Linked DNA regions of Arabidopsis thaliana. The protein of the gene in region 2 interacts with the protein of the main gene of each other region in a pairwise test. Each region holds a gene or a part of one and is shown on either strand. Other genes may lie near its edges.

Region 1 (4,529 bases), on a different chromosome or scaffold from region 2:
ACTTCCCCAAAACTTTTCGCATTCAACTTACCCTCAGCTTCAAGAAACCATTCCTCATTGAAGCAGAGGACATTAAACAAGTTTGTTATTAGTTCCTCTCCATGAGGCTTCGTCAAAATGATCAATTTTGTTCTTTAGTTTTTCCTTGTGTTAGTGAATTGTGACATCATAGCGGCTGGCCAGCTCAGTCTACTATGCTCGATCGAAATTTCGGTTTGATTAGGATTTTTCGATTAGTAAATTCTTCAAAAATTAATCTTATTTTAGCCAACTAATATGTAATTTATTCTTTGTTGGGTAATTAGATGAATAATAATTGGTCTTCTTTCTCACATTTTAGTGGATGAAAAGTTTCCTCATTGTTTTCTTCTTTATTCATCACAAATGAAAAGTTTCCTGATGTTGCATGAGAAAAATATGAGGTGAATGATTTGGGATGTGTGCCATTCGTTAGAGATTGGTATGTGGTGGATGATGTTTAGTTTTGATCTATCAGGTCAAACCAACACGTGCCGTGCCCGGCTTTTAAGTTCTATGGACAAAAGTATTGCCCCACTAGGCAAATGATTGTGACTCCGGATCTTGTGCTTTCCTTTGACAAATTCCAAATTCTACATATTCAACAATTTTGCTTAAAACTTTAAAGTTTGATCTTTCTAGAATTGAATTTTATTATTTAAAAAATATACGATACAGTTACACATTAATAACAAGATAGAGAATCTTGGCGTTAACAATAAAAGAGATAAACGTAGCAATTAATACAAAGGCCATATACGTAAGGTGTGGTGAAAGTTGTTACATTCATTTGAAAATACTCCATCAACTCCACCCATGTTTTCTTTTCTCTTATCAAGTGCTACCGATTCTCACGGTCTTTAGAAATGAACCACTTTTAGTGATTTCTCGCAATGGTTTATCGGTATATCTAACTGTGTTATAAACCCATGCACCCGCAATCGCACCAAGAGTTGGCGCAACTAAGTATATCCAAATTCCTTTGTAGCAACCATAGACCAGTGCAGGTCCTAAACTTCTTCCTGGATTCATCGACGCACTCGATACCGGTCTAATAAAATTGATGAACATAACCGTATAAATCATTTTTTGGAATTCTTACTCTAAAAAAAAAAAGTATAAGCACAATAATAGAAATGGTAACTGATAACTTACGCGGCAATTAGCACGTTAAGTAGCACCGTTGATCCTATTGCTAATCCAGCAAGTTCTCCGATCTGAATATTGCAGCATTTGGTCCCAATGTTAAGTTTCTCGTAAATTTAAAGACCACAGAAAACAAATGTAACTTCTGAGAGGGAGCAGTAATTAATAACACTAATATAAGCCATCGAATTTGACAACATAAGAAGATATGAAAATACTAACCGCTCTATTATCGGTAGCAACGCCAGAAATGATGAACATTAGATAGAAAGTGACGATAAACTCCATCGTAAACGCCTGAAGATCTGATCCCACTGGTGATGATCCGATAAACACATCGTGTTTTCCGCTACAAACGTCGTGATCAAGTCCGAACAACAACCGTAATGTCGCAGCCGCGAGCGTTGATCCTATCACTTGTGATATGACATAAGCTGGAACCTAAAAAAATTCAAAGAACAAAAATAAAATAAATTAATTCACCAGTTCACACTAACTAGGGAAGGGACCCAATCTTGGAAGATATTTTGACGTTTATATAACAAAATATGGACGTGTGGAAAAACTATATACATACAAAAGTTACATAACATTTTAATTTATTTTGGAAACTAGCAAAAGTAGATTTGTCCTTACGTATCTTCACTCATCTATAGTAAACGTTGCATTAAAAACGCTACGTATTTGAATAACCCAAAGTCTCGTGTGCAATACAAGCAACCGATAGCTAAACTAGATCAATGGAAACAAAATACACTAATGTTCTTTAATTAGTTTGTTCATGAAACTCAAAAACACACATAAAATACAAAACTTGATCGATCATTATATAAAGGCTATATGTAATTGTGTATGTGTTAAGGACCTGTTTGAGAGGGAAACGGCCACAAGAGGCGAAGGCAATGGTAACGGCCGGATTGATATGAGCACCAGAGATGTGACCAAGAGAGTAAATGAGGACCATAATGGTGAGTCCCCAAACGATAGCGATCCCTGGAAGAGTCACGACATTGTCGTTTTGCATGTTTACAACCACCGATGCACAACCGGTGAATACCAAAAAGTAGGTTCCAAGAAACTCCGCGATCAACTGAAAACATAGCGTAAATAAAACCGAGATGTCTTGTGAATTGGTACAAAACAGAGTCTTTTCATTTATAACTTGTAAAACATGTTGGATATGGAGAGTTAAAAGTAAAAACCTTTTGTAAGAAAGGGACAGAGACTGAGAGTAGAGAGTCTTGTTTCTTCAAGGGTCTTGGGTTATGAATGTCTTCCATTTCTTGTTGATGTTCGACTTCATCCTTGAGATTCACCATTACTACTTCTTCTCTGGCGTTGCCATAGCCGTTTCCCGAGATATCCGCCATAAGTGACTTTTCTCTTTTTAGAAACAAAGAAGAGGAAAAGGATTGAACTATAAACGACTGTTTATGACTTGTGAGAATGAGAAGTTTGGTAGCGATTATCTCCTATTTATTGGCAAACATGGGGGAGAGAGAGACTTCTTTGACGATTTTAATATTACCAGTTTATTAATTGAAAAAAAGAAGAAGATGATATATTGTTAATAAAGCTTTTTTAATAATAATAAATTCCTATGTTTGTGGAGATTCTATACCAGGTCTCAAATTCAATTTTCAGGGATTACAATTTTTTCTTAGATCAACAAATATAAAATTTATCGAAAATTTTAGAATGCTACATGCAGAATTTGTTTGTTTTGATCTTGTGTGTTGTGCAGAGAGCCTATATCATTCGTGCATGTCGTACATGCATAACCATCCGCGCCTAGGATTCAAATGTTGCATACTTGCAATCTACTTTTTGTTTTTAAATTTTTATTCTACTTTCCAAATATTCATTTATAATCACATAAGTATATATACGTCATTTTATGCGTTGTTTGTATTTCACATAAGTATTCATTTAGAACATCTCATATCGAATTCTGAATTTCGGATATAAAGTCACCGGTCATATGTTGTTACACCCAAATTTGTTCGTATCATATAAACAAAACAAAATTATGTCATGCAAACTATAGAATAAACTATATCATTTATGAGAAATTGAAAAATGTCACTAGATGGAATTGATGATGGCCTCTTTAAGTCTTCAACTACCAAGCGGGTAATACGGACATACTTTATTTAGCTTATAGTTGTGCATGTGTACATATGTACACAACATTATAAAAATTACTAAAAAATTTCAAGATATTTTATATATACCTTGATGCCAACGTAACAATCTTGATTGCGATCCGTAAACTTAATGTAGTGTACTGTTTGGATCCGATCATATCAACCTCAGGTTTGAATCCATACTAACATATAACTAAATGTTAATTATGATCAGAATGTTTTATTTGCGACAATACTCAAAATGTCATCTCTAGATTAGGTTAAGTTCGAACCCTCTTTAATGGATGTTAGAATGTAGGGTTGTGGCCACGGGCCACCAGAGAAAAAATGAAGTTTCTTTATAATGTACAATTTGAATTATCAGTAAATTAGCAATGTTAATTCCACATGTAAACACGTATGCTGGTTAATGGTGACAAGACAAATCTTAAAGACTTTCATGTTACGTATCGATCCAGATGTGCATGATGTATGGTGCCAAAAAAATAGGAGGAGTGAATATGAATTGAAATTGAGAACATACATATATGCAAAGGGAAGGTAAATAAAGAATATTTCAGAAAGAAAAAGAAACATTGATGTAAATGTAGGAGTATCAAAGTCGATCAAAATTAGTAGATCATTGACTTAACTCAACCAATGAATTGACTATCATTTTATATTATTTTAATAAGTTGATGAAATAAATGAGTTGAATGGACTGATGAATTATGGGGGCTACTTAATGTTTCCACCACGACACTCGGATTCAATTCATTAACTTTTTTACATCATCATAACTTTATTATAATCGATGATATCAAACCCATCATGATATAATCATACACCATCATATTCATCATCATCAACATCATTTCATCAGCATGACTTCCGAAGCTATTATACGTGTGCTAGATCTATATCTTTGTACGATGTGAGAGTGTTACGAGTAGTATGTGTGCATAAAGTAAATGAGACATAAATTTGTTAACGGGTCTGTTCACAACTTACATGTCAAAAATTTCTACCAAAACTATGTAACTTTTTTTATTATGACGCTCCACAATTTCTCGCTACAATGTTATTCCGTAATTTTATATTTTTAATTGCAATATATCTGGTTTACGTATCAAAGATAATGCAAAGGAAAATTTTATATAGATATTATCTTCATCTAAAATGGTTTATCAGTATATGTATTAATGTTAAAACACATTATCAATTTCACCAGGTTTTAAA
Region 2 (4,645 bases):
CAATTTGTGTGAGCTCAGAATCAAAACAGGTTCATGATCAAATTCCGAAATGTATGAACTTTTACTCAACAAATTCTGAAAGAAATGCGATTTAAGGCATAGAAAGTCTCCAGTTAGATTCAACCATGAGTTCCCACTAAAGCTTATGGCTTCCACAGAGTAAGCAAACTCACAGATTCAGTCCAATTTTCAACACTGCTTCTACAATTCTCTATCAAAAACCAAGAAAAAAACAAATCCCACAGATTCGTTTATTTTCCCAGGAATCAAGTGATAAAGATCAGTTATTACCGCATCGTGATCATCTGCTTCGAAAGAATCCTTGATCTCAGAGTCAATCACTTGTATAAGCGTCTGATCGGACTTTAACGGCTCAGTGGCCGTCGAATAAGGAAAGCCACGAGAGACGAAGGGCCGAAGCAGAGATGGCTTGGGAACAAGAGACGAGCGATTAACGATAGCGGAGACGGCTTGAGCTCGAGCCACACGACCACACACGGAAGCTAAAGTAGAAGCTGATCTACGAATGCACAAAGCGAAACCCATGGCGATTAAAAGAAAATGGATTCTCTCAGTCTCTGGGTTTTGGCCTTTCCTTAGGGTTTTAACTTTTAAGTGTACGAAGAAGACAAACTATACTAACCAAATCATACCGGTCTTCAAACCAAACCGGTTAAATTACAATTCTTCATTTCTCAATTCCTCTTCACAAACAAATTGTACTGATTTCTGGCATATCTTTTAGAAGTATAGTTTCACATATCAAAAACTCAGAATTTACAAAAGTCAAAAGAACTTTCACAAACTGTATGATAAAGAGACTGAAATGTTTTTTGGATTTCACTAATTTGGTATTACAATCTGAACAATTTCTATGTGACCCGGATCAACAGAACAACCATTATGAACACACAGATCATGGCGAAGATCAAGAGCCACTGGAAGCAACTTGTCTTTGAGCTTTGTGAATATATCTTTGTCGCTCTTGTTGTCGCGTGTCCTGTGCTCGCTAGGCTTTGCTCAATGGCCTCCTCGGTAGAGTCAAGTATCTTTTGTTAATGAATCCACAAGAAAAGAAAGAAAGAAAAATGTTAGGAGCAATGAAGCCGGTTAAAAGGATATATGAACCAATATAGATTCTTCTCTTGTTACATAGTTGTTGATTAAAAAAGTAAGAATAATTGGTTTTGTGAGGAAATGGTTAGCATCTCACCTTTTCTGTATTTTGCACAGATTGACTAATCGCTTGACTTCTCTCCTTGAGTTGTCTTGCAAGTACCACCATTTCATCGGTTAGATCCTCTTGAAGCTTTCTGTCATCAAATGAATCACCAACTTGGCATGAAGTGGCAAAATTGAACTTATATTAAAATCAATAAAGCTCTACTCTTTGCGATAAATTTTTCTCTCTACTAACGAAAGTGCATAGATAGAAATGAGTTCCTAGTTCTTCTTGGTGATCAATGCATCTACCTGTGCTTGTCAATGTGCGCTTGAGCTGCGGTGTCTAGTTTTATTGGTTTTGATGAATCAGCATCAGCAGCATCAAAGCTTTGCTCCTTGGAACTTGCAGGGCTAACTCAATCAAGGAAGTTGATAAGTACTAAAAGAAAGAATTTACTACAACTTGAGAAGGATGTGAATCTAGTATTCCACGTACACGATTCTTCTTCTCAGCTGTGGCGAAGTGGGGCTTCGAGGCTCATCTTCTATTTTTGGTGAGCTTCCACTAGTCGAATCTTTTGCAAAGGGTTCATCAGATACCTCTGTCTCAGGCTGTAAATTTAGCAAAAATCAAAAATTTGGTATAAGTTACAGAAGTAAAACTTGAAAATTCTTGCAGCTAAACAATGGTTCTACGCAGGAACCAACCAAAATGTGCGTTCCTGAAACTAATTCCTGAGACCAATACATCTAGTAAAAATTGGGGAAGTAACTAACAAAGTATCATATCAACAAGAGCCTAATGTCCTAGCTAGACAAGTGAAAAGAAGTGTCCCTTTCTAGTTCAGGTGACTTACCTCTTGAGAAGCTATCTTGGAAGCAACAGCTTCAATCTTCTCATAGTACTCATTAACCTTAGCCTTTGTAACTCTGGACAAAGAGATCAAAGGAGAAAATAAGCACATTCTCATAATGGTTGCAAGGGTATTTCACCAAAAAACATGTACTTTTAGAACAACAACTATAATACGAAGCAATCCAGTTCAAATCTCTAACCCTTGATCCTAGAAAGAGACACCAAAAAGCAGGAATCTTTTTAATGGCAATGGTGAATCAACAAGAGAGTAAGTAAACCTGGGAAGGCCTTCAGGGGTTTTTTCTTCGGAGAGTTGTTCTAATTGTTCCCTCAATGTAGCAACATACTGCAGATTTTTTGTTTCATACATCAACATAAACACGAGACTAATAGTTTACATATAATGAAGATCAAAAGAAACGTACATGCATAAGCTTCGACTGATTTTGCTGGTTAGGTGCAGCGGAAAGCAATCTCCGCAAATTGATCTCCGTTTTGCTTATTCCCATCATCAGTAAATCTGACAACTAGAGAATGAAACAACATTCAGATCAAAGCACACAGACCAGTAACAGAAATCAATCCAAAACCCAATTCACGATTTTGAATCCAAATTGAATATCTGGATCTCACGAAAACAGACCTTGTTTAGATAGGAGAGGAGAGGAAACAAAATCAAATTCCGCCACTTTCTCAACACCTTCCGTTGTCAGGAGAAGCCGTCGTAAAAAAAAATCTTCACCGGAAAGTCATTATTTTTTCTCGAGAAATTATTCGGTTATTGGCTTTGGTTTGCGTTTGATGAACTAAACCGATGGTTTAATAATTAACAACCGAATTCGTAGCAAATTAGATTTACCTCTTAATGGGCTAGGCTGGGCTTTAAATGTTTACTGTGCTTAAATGTAAAACATTGATAGGCCTCTTACTTCTAAATCTAATTTTCTGTTTTCTCGATCTCCGTCGAAACCACCATGCCCAGAGATCTCGATCTCTGTGATTTGTAGGTTATCATGGTGAGGTGTCAATCACTGCTTATGGTGAGAAGAAACCTGACAGTCTGGATGATGTAATCGACTTCGAACCCAAAAGTGATTGTCCTTTACTTAAACCCTAGTTCTTTTTTATTACATATTATATATATATATATATATATATATGTATGTGCAGTGCAATTTTACATGTTAGTTGATAACTGATATATACATTTTTTTAGGGGGTAAGAGTGAGAGACTAAACAAGATGTTAGTGGAAATTGCATTTTGGTCAGTGGAAAATCCTGCTCCCCATTATACATCTACAAATCTGATGGTAATCGCCAAAAGCATCCCAGGAGAGACCAAGTTCGAAGAACATCTTAGTTTGTTGGATGTTTATGAGTTACAATGTTATCTTAGTTGTGGCTAATGACTGGTCACCAGAAGCGCCGCAAATTCCGTATGTAAACACTGTATGGTTTTGGGAAAGCCTATTGGATCCAATTACGTAGCCTAATATCTCGTGTCAAACAAGAGACTTTCAGATCCGAAGAAGATGACGAGGGCGACGATACTCCTTGTCCATATTGTGGAGAAGGGTGCCCAGGGCTCCTCCCACTGCTTGGGAGCTTACCGCGGGGAAGGCTATGCTAGGGCGTGTGGTTTTCACTTTTATAATCTCTTCTGTCCAAAAGACTTTGGTTTTTGTTCTCTTAAACTCTGTTTAGTGTTTTGCTGTTTTAATCCCTTTCCCATCAATGCCCTAGGTTTTATAATCTCTGCTAATGATTTCTCATTTCCTAGTATTTGTATGATTAATTGAAAGATTAAATCGTACGTCTGCTCTGTGGATCATTTTGAACAAAAGTTTTATCTGCTCGCTGAGACTGATATCTCTTTTACTTCTTAAGTAATCCAAATCGCATGATACATTGATTTGCTACATCCTGACCTTCAATTGTCAGCAATGTACCTAAGAAAAATTCAGAATCACGACCAAGGCCATGGCACGTACAAAAAGGAGGAACAAGATCACGACCTCTTCTCATGATTTCACTTAGATCAAACATCTTTTAACTCAAGAGACACACATAAATTAATTAGATCTAACTTCAAACAACATATATTCCCAGCATCATATGTCAAGATTGACACATCACTAATATAACCTTCAATCTCAAGAGCGTCTTTGATATTCTTAGGAAACTTGTCGAAAGGCTTACTAGGAGCTAGACTCTTATAAAACATTGAAAATTTTACTTTTTCATGACTTTAAATTAGAAATCGTATTCGCACAAAAAAATGAAAAATACGGACAAATCAACCAAATTGTCATCACATCACTATATCTGGTTTCAAGATGTCTGATTTGATCTCTTTGTTATGCAACACAACCCCTCCATTACAATATATCTCATCGCACACGTAAACATTTTTCCCAAGTATGGACATGTTCTCGACCCGAGCCCATTGTCCGACCGTCGAGTGCCACCCAATGATACTACTCGAGATACACGCATATCTCTTCACGTGTACCCCACGCATTACCGTGCAGTGCGATAGTCTAACCCCGGACTCAACAACACAGCCAGGGCCTATAGCAACGTTAGGGCCAATCAAACATCCTTCACCAATCTCTGCGGTTTCA
Region 3 (4,192 bases), about 17 Mb from region 2:
TTCTTTCTCTAGGTTTCAAATCCAAAAAAAAACAAAAAAAAACAGAAAAAAACAGAGAATCAGAAATACAAAATAATTCACAAATAAGAACAGATTGAGAATCATCTATTTTACCCCAAACTAAACCTCAACACTTCGAATCGATTTCGTCTTCAAATACAACCGGATCACATCAAATCAACAACAATAACAAAAAAAAAAAAGAACATCAAAACGATCAAGAAAACAAATTCGATTAGCTTAAGAAACACAAATTTCATAAGCAAAAGAGCACCTTTAATCGGAGAAGATTCGAGAGAGAAAGAGGTGGAGATGGAACCTAACCTCACTTTGTTGATCGATCGTGGATCAATTTCTTTACTCCATTTTCTTTGATTTACTTCTTTTTATATTTCTTTCTTTTAAATTTTTTAATTTTAACATTCAGGCTTCGAAGCTCAGGAAGCTGACACGTGTAAAATGTTTGACAATGGTGGATCCCATACCTGTAGAGTTATCTGATCTTCTTATTAGCCAGCCGGTCAATATTAGTCAACGATTCTTACGAAATAAGAAAACCATACTTTTGATTTGTGAAATAATTTTGATTCAAACTTGTTTTAAGTCTTACATTTTTAGACATTGAGTTAATGAACTCTCAATCTACTTGTATAATTTTGACAGATATGATGATTCTCTTATTAACCAAGGTATTGACAAATACATGGACAAGGTATTGTTTAGTAAGGAAATACACAAAATCTACATGAATGAATAATATTCTCAAAACATTCATTTAGCAAACCATAATCCATATTGTTCTAACAACAAACAAGGTAAAATAAGAAAATGCTTGAGTGATTTAGTCACTCACGCTTCTTTAATCCAAACTTTCCACTTGGGATTCTACTGAGAAACCCAGTATCAAGCTTCTTGTAATGACTATGAAACTTCATGATCATAGAATCCATAAAACCATCCACTTCGTCTTCGTATCTCTCATACAGAACCGGCATTGTGTGTGCCCCAACAAACCCTTCACACACACACATAAAATGCATCCCTTTAAAGTCTTGTATTACTCAACTTCCAATCTCAAAAGAGGATACACTAATAAGAACCACTCACCGATATACAAAACAGTTAGGAAATTGCAACAGCTCCCGACCATTGCAGCTACCCATAGTCCGATTACAGCCTGAAAAATGATATTGTGATCAAAGTTTCTATCTTAGCATAGTAATGAAAGTGCTAATACATTATACAAACAAGATTGTGGTTATTGAAACAAACAACGCACCATGAGGAACTGTTTCAAATTCCCTTTACAAGCCAAGTCCTGAAGAAACAACAAACCGCGGTTAACTTCTTTTCCAACGGCCACACCGACTTCAGCAAAGAAATCCTTTGGAAGAACTAGGCGAGGCACTCTAGACTGTGAGCTGCTTTGAGACATTAAAGGACATTGTGTTAGATTGCAATCACAAGGTACCAATAATAATGACAACAACACTCCAACAAGTTACCGGTTTAAGAATCCAGAGGCGTTAGACCAAACGAATTGTGCAATCATACCAAGCAAGAGGGCATAGCAAACGAGAGACAGGAAATGGAAATTGATCCATTCAAAAAGCACCCAAATTGCGGTAGCTCCCATCAAAACACTTGCAGAGATCTTCTTGTTCCTCCATAACAACACATCAGCAGCTGAAGGAATCTCTCAATACTCAATTACAAGAAAAACCAATCTCATATTTATGTTCCTGTATACGAATTCTTACATTTGCCACCGCCTAAGACATGATGAATTGGCTTCTGGCGATCAAACAAACGGTTGAAACGAGAACTGACGGAATCTTCTTGTTCGAAGAAGGAGGAACCATGTTTGTTCTTCTGAACAGTCTCCGTGAAGTTATCCACCAAATCACCGATAACGTCCTCTACGATGTTCTTGTCAGGCATGATTCTGAAACACAATCGAAATCTGAGATTGCTCAATTTGCAGATGAAAGTTGACTTCATAAAAAATTGAATCTTTTGATCAGTTCTTCATACCCTAAACCCAAAACCATTTCGAGTAATCAAATTTGGTCTTAACAGTTCGTTGGTGATAATTACAATGATATAAAACTTAGATCTTAGTATATTTGGCGAGAAGACAAGAACAACAAAAAGACCAGAAATTGAAGAGCAAGAACGAGACAAAGATGAAGATGAGTAAGAGTAAACCTGTAGGAACTGGAGAAGAAGAAGAAGAAGAAAAACCTTGGTTGTTCTGTGAATTTCACCCAAAAAAAGTTGCTTTCTTTCGTTGAAGATTCTCTCAATCACGAAGAAAGATGGAGGGCGGAAGTGAAACAAGAGATGGGATTGGTTGTGTCGAATAATTGAATTACAAAAAAATGTTTTTTTCAAAATGTGGGCAAATGTTGGAGTAGTGTGTAGTAATAATGGATAGGACTTGTCTTCCCACGTGTAGCTCATGACAATAAACAAATTATTTTTTAAGAAGTATTATTGGACGCCAAAAAAAGAGTTGAAACGTATCGTTTGTATTTGCAAGACAAACAAAAAGAAGTTTTCTGAGTAGATTTATCAACCGTTACAAGCCTTGTTGAAAATAAAAAAATTTCATTTATTCAATGAATTAAAGTCACACTAATATGGTTGACTGGTTGTTACATGCGTGATGCGTTCATAACACTGCTTTAGGTTGTTCAGGAAGAACAAAAATCATGTTTAATTCACTATATACCTACCAAATCGAAAAATAAACTTGTTAATTATCGATCACTCTGCGATCGCTAGTAAAACATCAGTCAAAACTTAACCTCGAATACAATTAAAATCAATACAACAGGCAGAGAAGATATTCATTGCACAATAGTTACCTTCTCATCTTCCTTCTAATCATTAGTTTTAACTTCGTCGCATGCATGATTTTCAGGAATGCCAAATTGTTGAAGTCATAATATATAGTAAATACCTAGTGAATGCAAATTTCTCTTGTCTCTAGAAAAATTCTAGTTCCAATGGAAAGAAACGCCCAACAAAGAGCCTTGTGAATTGCTAAATTTTGACATTGAAAGAGATAATCCTAACAATGAATTTTGTCCTTTATAGGCCAGAAGAAGAACAAAATCCTGTTGGCCTGTGACTATATGATTTAACCTTGAAATGATGATGTCTCCCTTTGCATTTCACCAGAGTCGTTTCTTTGTTGTTTGTATATAGCTGAAGCAATAACTATAAGCTGTGTTATATGTCGAGATTCTCCAGATTCATCCTAGTCGCAGCACTTTTGATGAGTTCCTTCCTGACATCGACCTGAAACATACACAGAACATAACATTGTCACGATGAGTTATGCCAGTTTATTGACTATTATCATGAGTCCGAGTCTGGCAATTCATTGGCTTACCCGAGCACCCATCAGAGATGAGAAGACCATATTCGTTTCTGCTGCGTCGTCAACAACTAGTTGCTTCAATATCCTTGTATCTGGATTCATCGTTGTTTCCCATAGCTGCGCAGGCATCATCTCACCCAAACCTGCAGATGCAAAAGCAAGAAACATTACATAGAATCCAATAGTTGAGACTAATCTAGATTTCGTTATGCACACACTCAAGAGTATCTTAATAGCTAACACATAACAACTACTATACATTACTTTTCATAGTTATTTATCCTTTCCAAAAGAACACATTCATGATGTGAGAAGTAGGATGTTTTACCTTTGAACCTCTGAATGTTGTAGGATGCGTTTCCAGGGAACGAAGCAGTGATTTTTTTAAGAGCTGCATCATCGTAGCAGTAGTGCGCCTGTTTCCCCCTCTCAACCTGATCGTTTTCACAGAGAGACTAGCTTTAGAAAAAAATTCCGTTCAATCTGAAGCATAAGATTATAGATACTAAGAGCTTACCTTGAAAAGAGGTGGAACACCAACGTATATGCAACCCGCGTCAAACAAGGCTCTCTGTAGAAAGTAAATTTCATTAAATTTCACATAACTCAATCAGCAATCAAGGCTACTTCAACTAATGTTTTATCAAACTAAACTAGTACCTGATATCTGAAGAAAAAGGTCAACAGAAGTGTCCGGATATGTGCACCATCAACATCTGCATCTGTTAAGATGATAATTTTATGGTAACGCAGATTCTCCTTGTTAAAATCTTCTCCCTGAAATAAGTTTTATGTCAAACTGAG
Region 4 (4,951 bases), on a different chromosome or scaffold from region 2:
ATTAATTACTGTAATCAAATTAGTGAAGAAAAAAGAAGAAGAGAGATTAGTGATTTTTATTTACAGGAAGACGAAGAAAGGACTTGGTGGTTTCTTAGGCCTGTTTGGATCCTTTGTTTTCTTTCCAACTTTGTTCCCTCTAACTTTCAATCTGAGAATCATAAAAGACGATTTCAAAACTACGGAAACAAATTGAATCTAAGAATCGAGATTACGGATAAATATAAAGATACCTATCATCAGTGCTCCTCGATTCAACTTCCGTTTGGTTATCTTTCATCTCGAGATCTGTCACAGAGAGGAACAAAAGTGAGAATCCGGTGGGGAAAAATAGCTGACTCGGAGTTGACTCAGATGAGGCGGCGAGTAGGAGCGAGCTTACCTCTGTGTGAACACGTTTAGGTTATTTCTTTTTTTGAATTGGGGAGAGACGACGATTGAGATAATTCTTTGATGCGGTGTTAATTTAAGATGTTGGTATTTTTAATCTTGACCGTAGATAATTAAGATGTTGGTACATTTAATCTTGACCATCCGTGTAAATTCAACAGTAACTTTTATCAGATTCCTAAATAAGTTTTTAAGTTACAACACACAAACATGCTAACATTGCATCATCCCTAATTACATTAAACTACATTTGATTCTCTCTCTCTCTCTCTTTGTGTCTCATGTGTCATGAACTCACCAGTGTCCTCCATATACCCATCCCTACCCCAACCATCACAGCCACCATTACCGTTGCAACCACCTTCCATCGCTTCCCTCCTCGTCTCTTTCTGCTCTGCACCTGTACCTGTAACCACAACAAACTTCTCTTTAGACAAAGATACTTCTCAGTTTCTTTTATCATTACTAGCTGATCTCACATGCTCTACTGATTGCTTTCTCTTTTTTTTCTTTCTAATTCTATAGTATTTAGTAGAGCTTACTACTATACTCTTTCTTCATTCATGTGTAAACAAGTTCACTCATTCTTACCTCGTCGTCTGCAAATCTCTCTCCTTTTACTTGGCCTATAGTTCCCCGCGCCCTGAGCTTTATTTGAGGTTTAACCAAAGAACCACTCTTCTCTGAGTATTTAGCTGCAGCTTCTTTGGCCTGCACATCCCCACCATTAACAACAAATTAAAAAGATGCATCCTTTATGTTATTGATGTCTAAGACACAACTTTTGGAATCACTAGTCTCGTACCTCGGGAATAACAGTGTGTCCTTCATTCACCTCCTCTCGTTCTTTTACTTCAGAGTTAGACTGCAGCTGCAGACGGATTCTCCTTGGAGCAATACCCTGGTTTATCAATCCTGTACTCTGCCGGTTCTGAGGCTGTCGAGCCCGGATCTTTATCCCTCTCCCTTCTGTGAGGTTGTTCTCTGTGTTATGATTGATCATTTGCTCTTGCTGAACCAAATCACTATAGTATGAATTAGTGTCACTTGGCCAACCAGAAGCTCCACCTTCTGAACCATACTGATCAAACAAAAGATAAAAATTGTCATTTTACTTATGTCAAGAGTGATTGTAAAGATAACTGATCTAGAGGTTTCTAGCCTACTTAAAGCAAAATAATTTGGATACTTCTAAAATTGTATAGGCCTCAAAATATGTATCTTTGTGCTCACCTGCAATTGCGCCATCTCAGCATCTGTATCAGTGAAAGCCATGAAGTCGTTGAAGAAAGCATCCTCTGGTGCTGCAGACTGCAGCATTTTAGCAGATGAAAATATCCCATTTGGTGAGACTGCTGGATTCTCTCGACTGATCGATTCCTCGCAAGAGAAGTCATCAGGGTTATTGAACACCTCCTCCAACAATTCTGTTAGTGATACATCTGGTTCGCTGGTACCATCTTGAAATTGGAATCCAATCTCATCGTAACTGAAATCACCAGCATATATAGAATCCATACACGGTAGTGGTGCCTTTTGATCTTCAAGGTCACAAGATAACCAAAGATTCTCTTCAGGTGCCTATGAACACAAAACTCAAAATTAGTCAAGTCACTCAAAAAAGCCTAATTAATTATTCAAGAGTTTCCATTCATACCTCAATCATTGTCCCATCTGCGGTACTATTACTATGAGCATAACCGCATCCACCTGAATAATCTGATGGTTTCTCAACAGCAGCATCAGAGGAAGGTGTTTCTTGAACAAGATCAGATGATGTATCATCAGGTGAGTATTTGTTGCTGGCCGTAAAAGCTGCTTCATCGGACTTGACACCATTAACCCGATCATCAGGCTTGTGGAAGAGGCGACAAAGAACGTAAGGGCTTTGGCCAGGGGAAGTGCCATCAAGATCCTTAAGAGTGGGACGATACTCGTGCATAATCCAATTAGTCCGCTCACCTTTAGGAGCTCGTCCACGATAGAAGACAAGAGTCTTCTTCATACCGATTAAAGTCTTCTTAGACTTGATGCTACGATCTTTACCAGTAGCTTTCCAATAGCCAGAGTCAGTTGCTCTGTTAGAGCGATGACCATTAGGGTATTTCCGATCACGAGGGCAGAAAAAGAACCACTCTGGATCATCCGTCTTAATCACCGAGAGAGCTGCCGACAATCAGATTTGTTTCCAATTGAGTAAAGAAAAAAAAGGTGGAATCTTTGAGAGGGAAAACAGAATCTGAGAATAAAAGGAATCAAATTTTGAGAGAATAAAGAGACGAACCAGGAAGATCCCAAGGTTCCCATTTGCAGACATCGATATCAGGGATGACACGGACATCGGAGTGACGTCCGTTGATCTTGAGACGGAGGTAGTGATTGACGAGCTCTTCATCGGTAGGTCTGAATCTGAAACCTAAAGGAAGCGACTCCATCGATACAGCACCCATAATCCTCTTCTTTAGGGTTTCTTTCCGACTTTGAATACACTCTCTGCTTTTTTTTCTGCTTTCTAAAAAGTCTTCAACACTTTGCTTTCTCTCATCTTCTTTTTTTTTTCCCTCTTTTTTTTTAACCTTTCTTTAGACCACGTGAGAAAGATAACTTCCACTTTAAACACTTGTCCTCTTCTGTCTTATTGTCTTGTCTTGTCTTTTCTTGATAGGCTTCCATTATTGTGGCTAGGGCCCAAAAAGGCCTTAAAGCCCAAAGCTTCGTGGTTTTTCTTCTCTTGTGGTTTAGGCTTTACAGTGATCAGAGAAACCCAAAACACGTTGGAAACGTCTAAGCAGAGAAAAACAGAGCTTCCAACAAATTCAGCATTGTAATTCTTCTAGACGTTTTATACAAATTTTACATATACACTATGGAACTCTCCTTGCATTTCTACCAAATCTGAATTGAAAAAGGGATTTGTAAGATATGAAAATGCGATAACGTTGCCTAGATTAATCAGTTTTCGACATTTTTTTTTTCCTGTTCCGATTCCATGTAACTTTTTGAGGGCCACAACTTTTCTTAATTAAAAAAATAAGAAAAATAAAAGCTCAAGTGACAATCAGTTTTTGAAAATGATACTAACTAAGCTCTTAACATTTTTACGCATGTATATAAACATTAATCTTTTATTTGGTCTTAAATACAAAGCATATATATGATGCTATCAATCTAAATGGTCTATTTGTACATAATTAAATAAAACATAAAATTAAAGCCTGCGCATACAACATGTCTACAACCAAAAACTTCTTTCGTTTATATCAAAATCAACATCCCAATACTTCATCTTCTCTTCTCTTCTATTTGGCACTTATAGACGCGAAAGGTTTGAACCGGCGGGAAAGTAAGACACCATAATCGGAGCTCTCGGGGATTTGCTTTTTGGTTTCTTTGAGGACAGGACTTTCAAGTCACTCTCATCAGTTGAGCTAATCTTTGAGTCTGATTTTGGAACAAAGCAATCAAAGACGGAGGCAAAGAGAGAACACATGATCATAGGAGTTTGAAAAACGTGTTTGGAGTCTATATACGATGAATGATATGATTAAGATTTGATCTCAGGTAATTACGTGAACGATATGTATTTATAAGACAACCCATCTTTATAAATTCTTGGACACGTTTCTAGGAAATGACCACTAAATCTTGCTGGCCAAGCTTTGCCCTATTCTTAATTGTTTTCTCTTTTGACAACACTTGGGCACCTTTTTTGACTCTTTGGGCCTAATTGGACCAACTATTGATACCAAACATACGTTAACATCACCTCCATATCACTCACCCAATCAAGTTTTCCAAAATGTTATGATTAAAATTAGGGTCTTCATGTCACTATCCAACAAAAGTTTTCCAAAATTCAACATTAAAATTAGGGGAAATATGTACGAAATAGAACTTATATATCCATGTTAAGAAGAAAAAAAACTATATATCCAAGCAATACAAAATATTTAGGTTCTACACTCCATTTTATACAAAATATTAATTGTTTTCGATTAGAGTTTTATTAGAAAGTTCTCACTCAGATAAAATCAAAACTAGTACTCTGTATTTTTATATAGAGAAAAATCCTTGTAAGTTAATGTTACTAATACTACCCAAGTACCCAGAGTATTTTGACACATTCTATTGACTTTTGATTGAAACATGTCCGGCTTAATTTAACGCAATTATTCAGTTTAGATTTTGAACACCTTAAATGAATTGGCTTTTAACAGATCATAATATCAATACCAGTTTTAGTCCTTGAGAACTCAGCCCATGACTTAAAATATGAAAACTTCAGCCCATGACTTAATAAATGAACAAAGAGAACCCAAAAACAGAAAATGAATCATGGACATATTTACATATATCATAATCTGACCAAATTGGAAATTATGCTCAAATGCTTAATATTCCTCTGATTCATTTACCAAATTCAACCTCTGTAGAATCATTCTAAACAAAATTCAATTACCACTTTTCAGACATGCGTCGCGCGTGTGAGTGTTTAGCTACATGGGCTTGGTTCGGTGCAACCCGCTTCCCACTGTTAATTTTACATAACTACCCTCGCACG

Evidence for each region.
Region 1: the proteins of AT3G55600 (region 2) and NLM1 interact in a two-hybrid assay, tested with the Arabidopsis thaliana proteins (one large-scale study listed by BioGRID).
Region 3: the proteins of AT3G55600 (region 2) and AT3G10260 interact in a two-hybrid assay, tested with the Arabidopsis thaliana proteins (one large-scale study listed by BioGRID).
Region 4: the proteins of AT3G55600 (region 2) and NTL9 interact in a two-hybrid assay, tested with the Arabidopsis thaliana proteins (one large-scale study listed by BioGRID).

The regions. Positions count from the first base shown.
Region 1 is NC_003075.7:10,420,876-10,425,404, forward strand, and holds NLM1 (NOD26-like major intrinsic protein 1), read right to left. Parts: upstream 2,634-4,529; 5' UTR 2,535-2,633; coding exon 2,367-2,534; intron 2,255-2,366; coding exon 2,030-2,254; intron 1,606-2,029; coding exon 1,387-1,605; coding exon of another isoform or gene 1,336-1,386; exon of another isoform or gene 1,236-1,335; coding exon 1,174-1,235; coding exon of another isoform or gene 1,170-1,173; exon of another isoform or gene 1,070-1,169; coding exon 853-1,069; 3' UTR 646-852; downstream 1-645. Other genes in the region: CMT2 (chromomethylase 2), read left to right, coding at 1-61. UniProt on the Arabidopsis thaliana protein: Water channel probably required to promote glycerol permeability and water transport across cell membranes.
Region 2 is NC_003074.8:20,618,569-20,623,213, reverse strand, and holds AT3G55600 (Membrane fusion protein Use1), read right to left. Parts: upstream 2,805-4,645; 5' UTR 2,664-2,804; exon of another isoform or gene 2,548-2,663; 5' UTR 2,533-2,547; coding exon 2,446-2,532; intron 2,367-2,445; coding exon 2,299-2,366; intron 2,095-2,298; coding exon 2,022-2,094; intron 1,777-2,021; coding exon 1,661-1,776; intron 1,576-1,660; coding exon 1,474-1,575; intron 1,314-1,473; coding exon 1,214-1,313; intron 1,050-1,213; coding exon 873-1,049; 3' UTR 659-872; downstream 1-658. Other genes in the region: AT3G55605 (Mitochondrial glycoprotein family protein), read right to left, coding at 292-546; AT3G55590 (Glucose-1-phosphate adenylyltransferase family protein), read right to left, coding at 4,333-4,645.
Region 3 is NC_003074.8:3,170,568-3,174,759, forward strand, and holds AT3G10260 (Reticulon family protein), read right to left. Parts: upstream 2,426-4,192; 5' UTR 2,002-2,425; coding exon 1,761-2,001; intron 1,687-1,760; coding exon 1,506-1,686; intron 1,422-1,505; coding exon 1,280-1,421; intron 1,178-1,279; coding exon 1,108-1,177; intron 1,016-1,107; coding exon 846-1,015; 3' UTR 655-845; downstream 1-654. Other genes in the region: GYRB1 (DNA gyrase subunit B), read right to left, coding at 3,238-3,306, 3,401-3,531, 3,717-3,822, 3,906-3,959, 4,049-4,165.
Region 4 is NC_003075.7:16,887,905-16,892,855, forward strand, and holds NTL9 (NAC transcription factor-like 9), read right to left. Parts: upstream 2,898-4,951; 5' UTR 2,841-2,897; coding exon 2,675-2,840; intron 2,557-2,674; coding exon 2,048-2,556; intron 1,972-2,047; coding exon 1,624-1,971; intron 1,472-1,623; coding exon 1,196-1,471; intron 1,102-1,195; coding exon 982-1,101; intron 816-981; coding exon 630-815; 3' UTR 501-629; downstream 1-500. Other genes in the region: HMGB5 (high mobility group B5), read right to left, coding at 65-151, 234-280. UniProt on the Arabidopsis thaliana protein: Transcriptional activator activated by proteolytic cleavage through regulated intramembrane proteolysis (RIP). Calmodulin-regulated transcriptional repressor. Binds several synthetic promoters with randomly selected binding sites.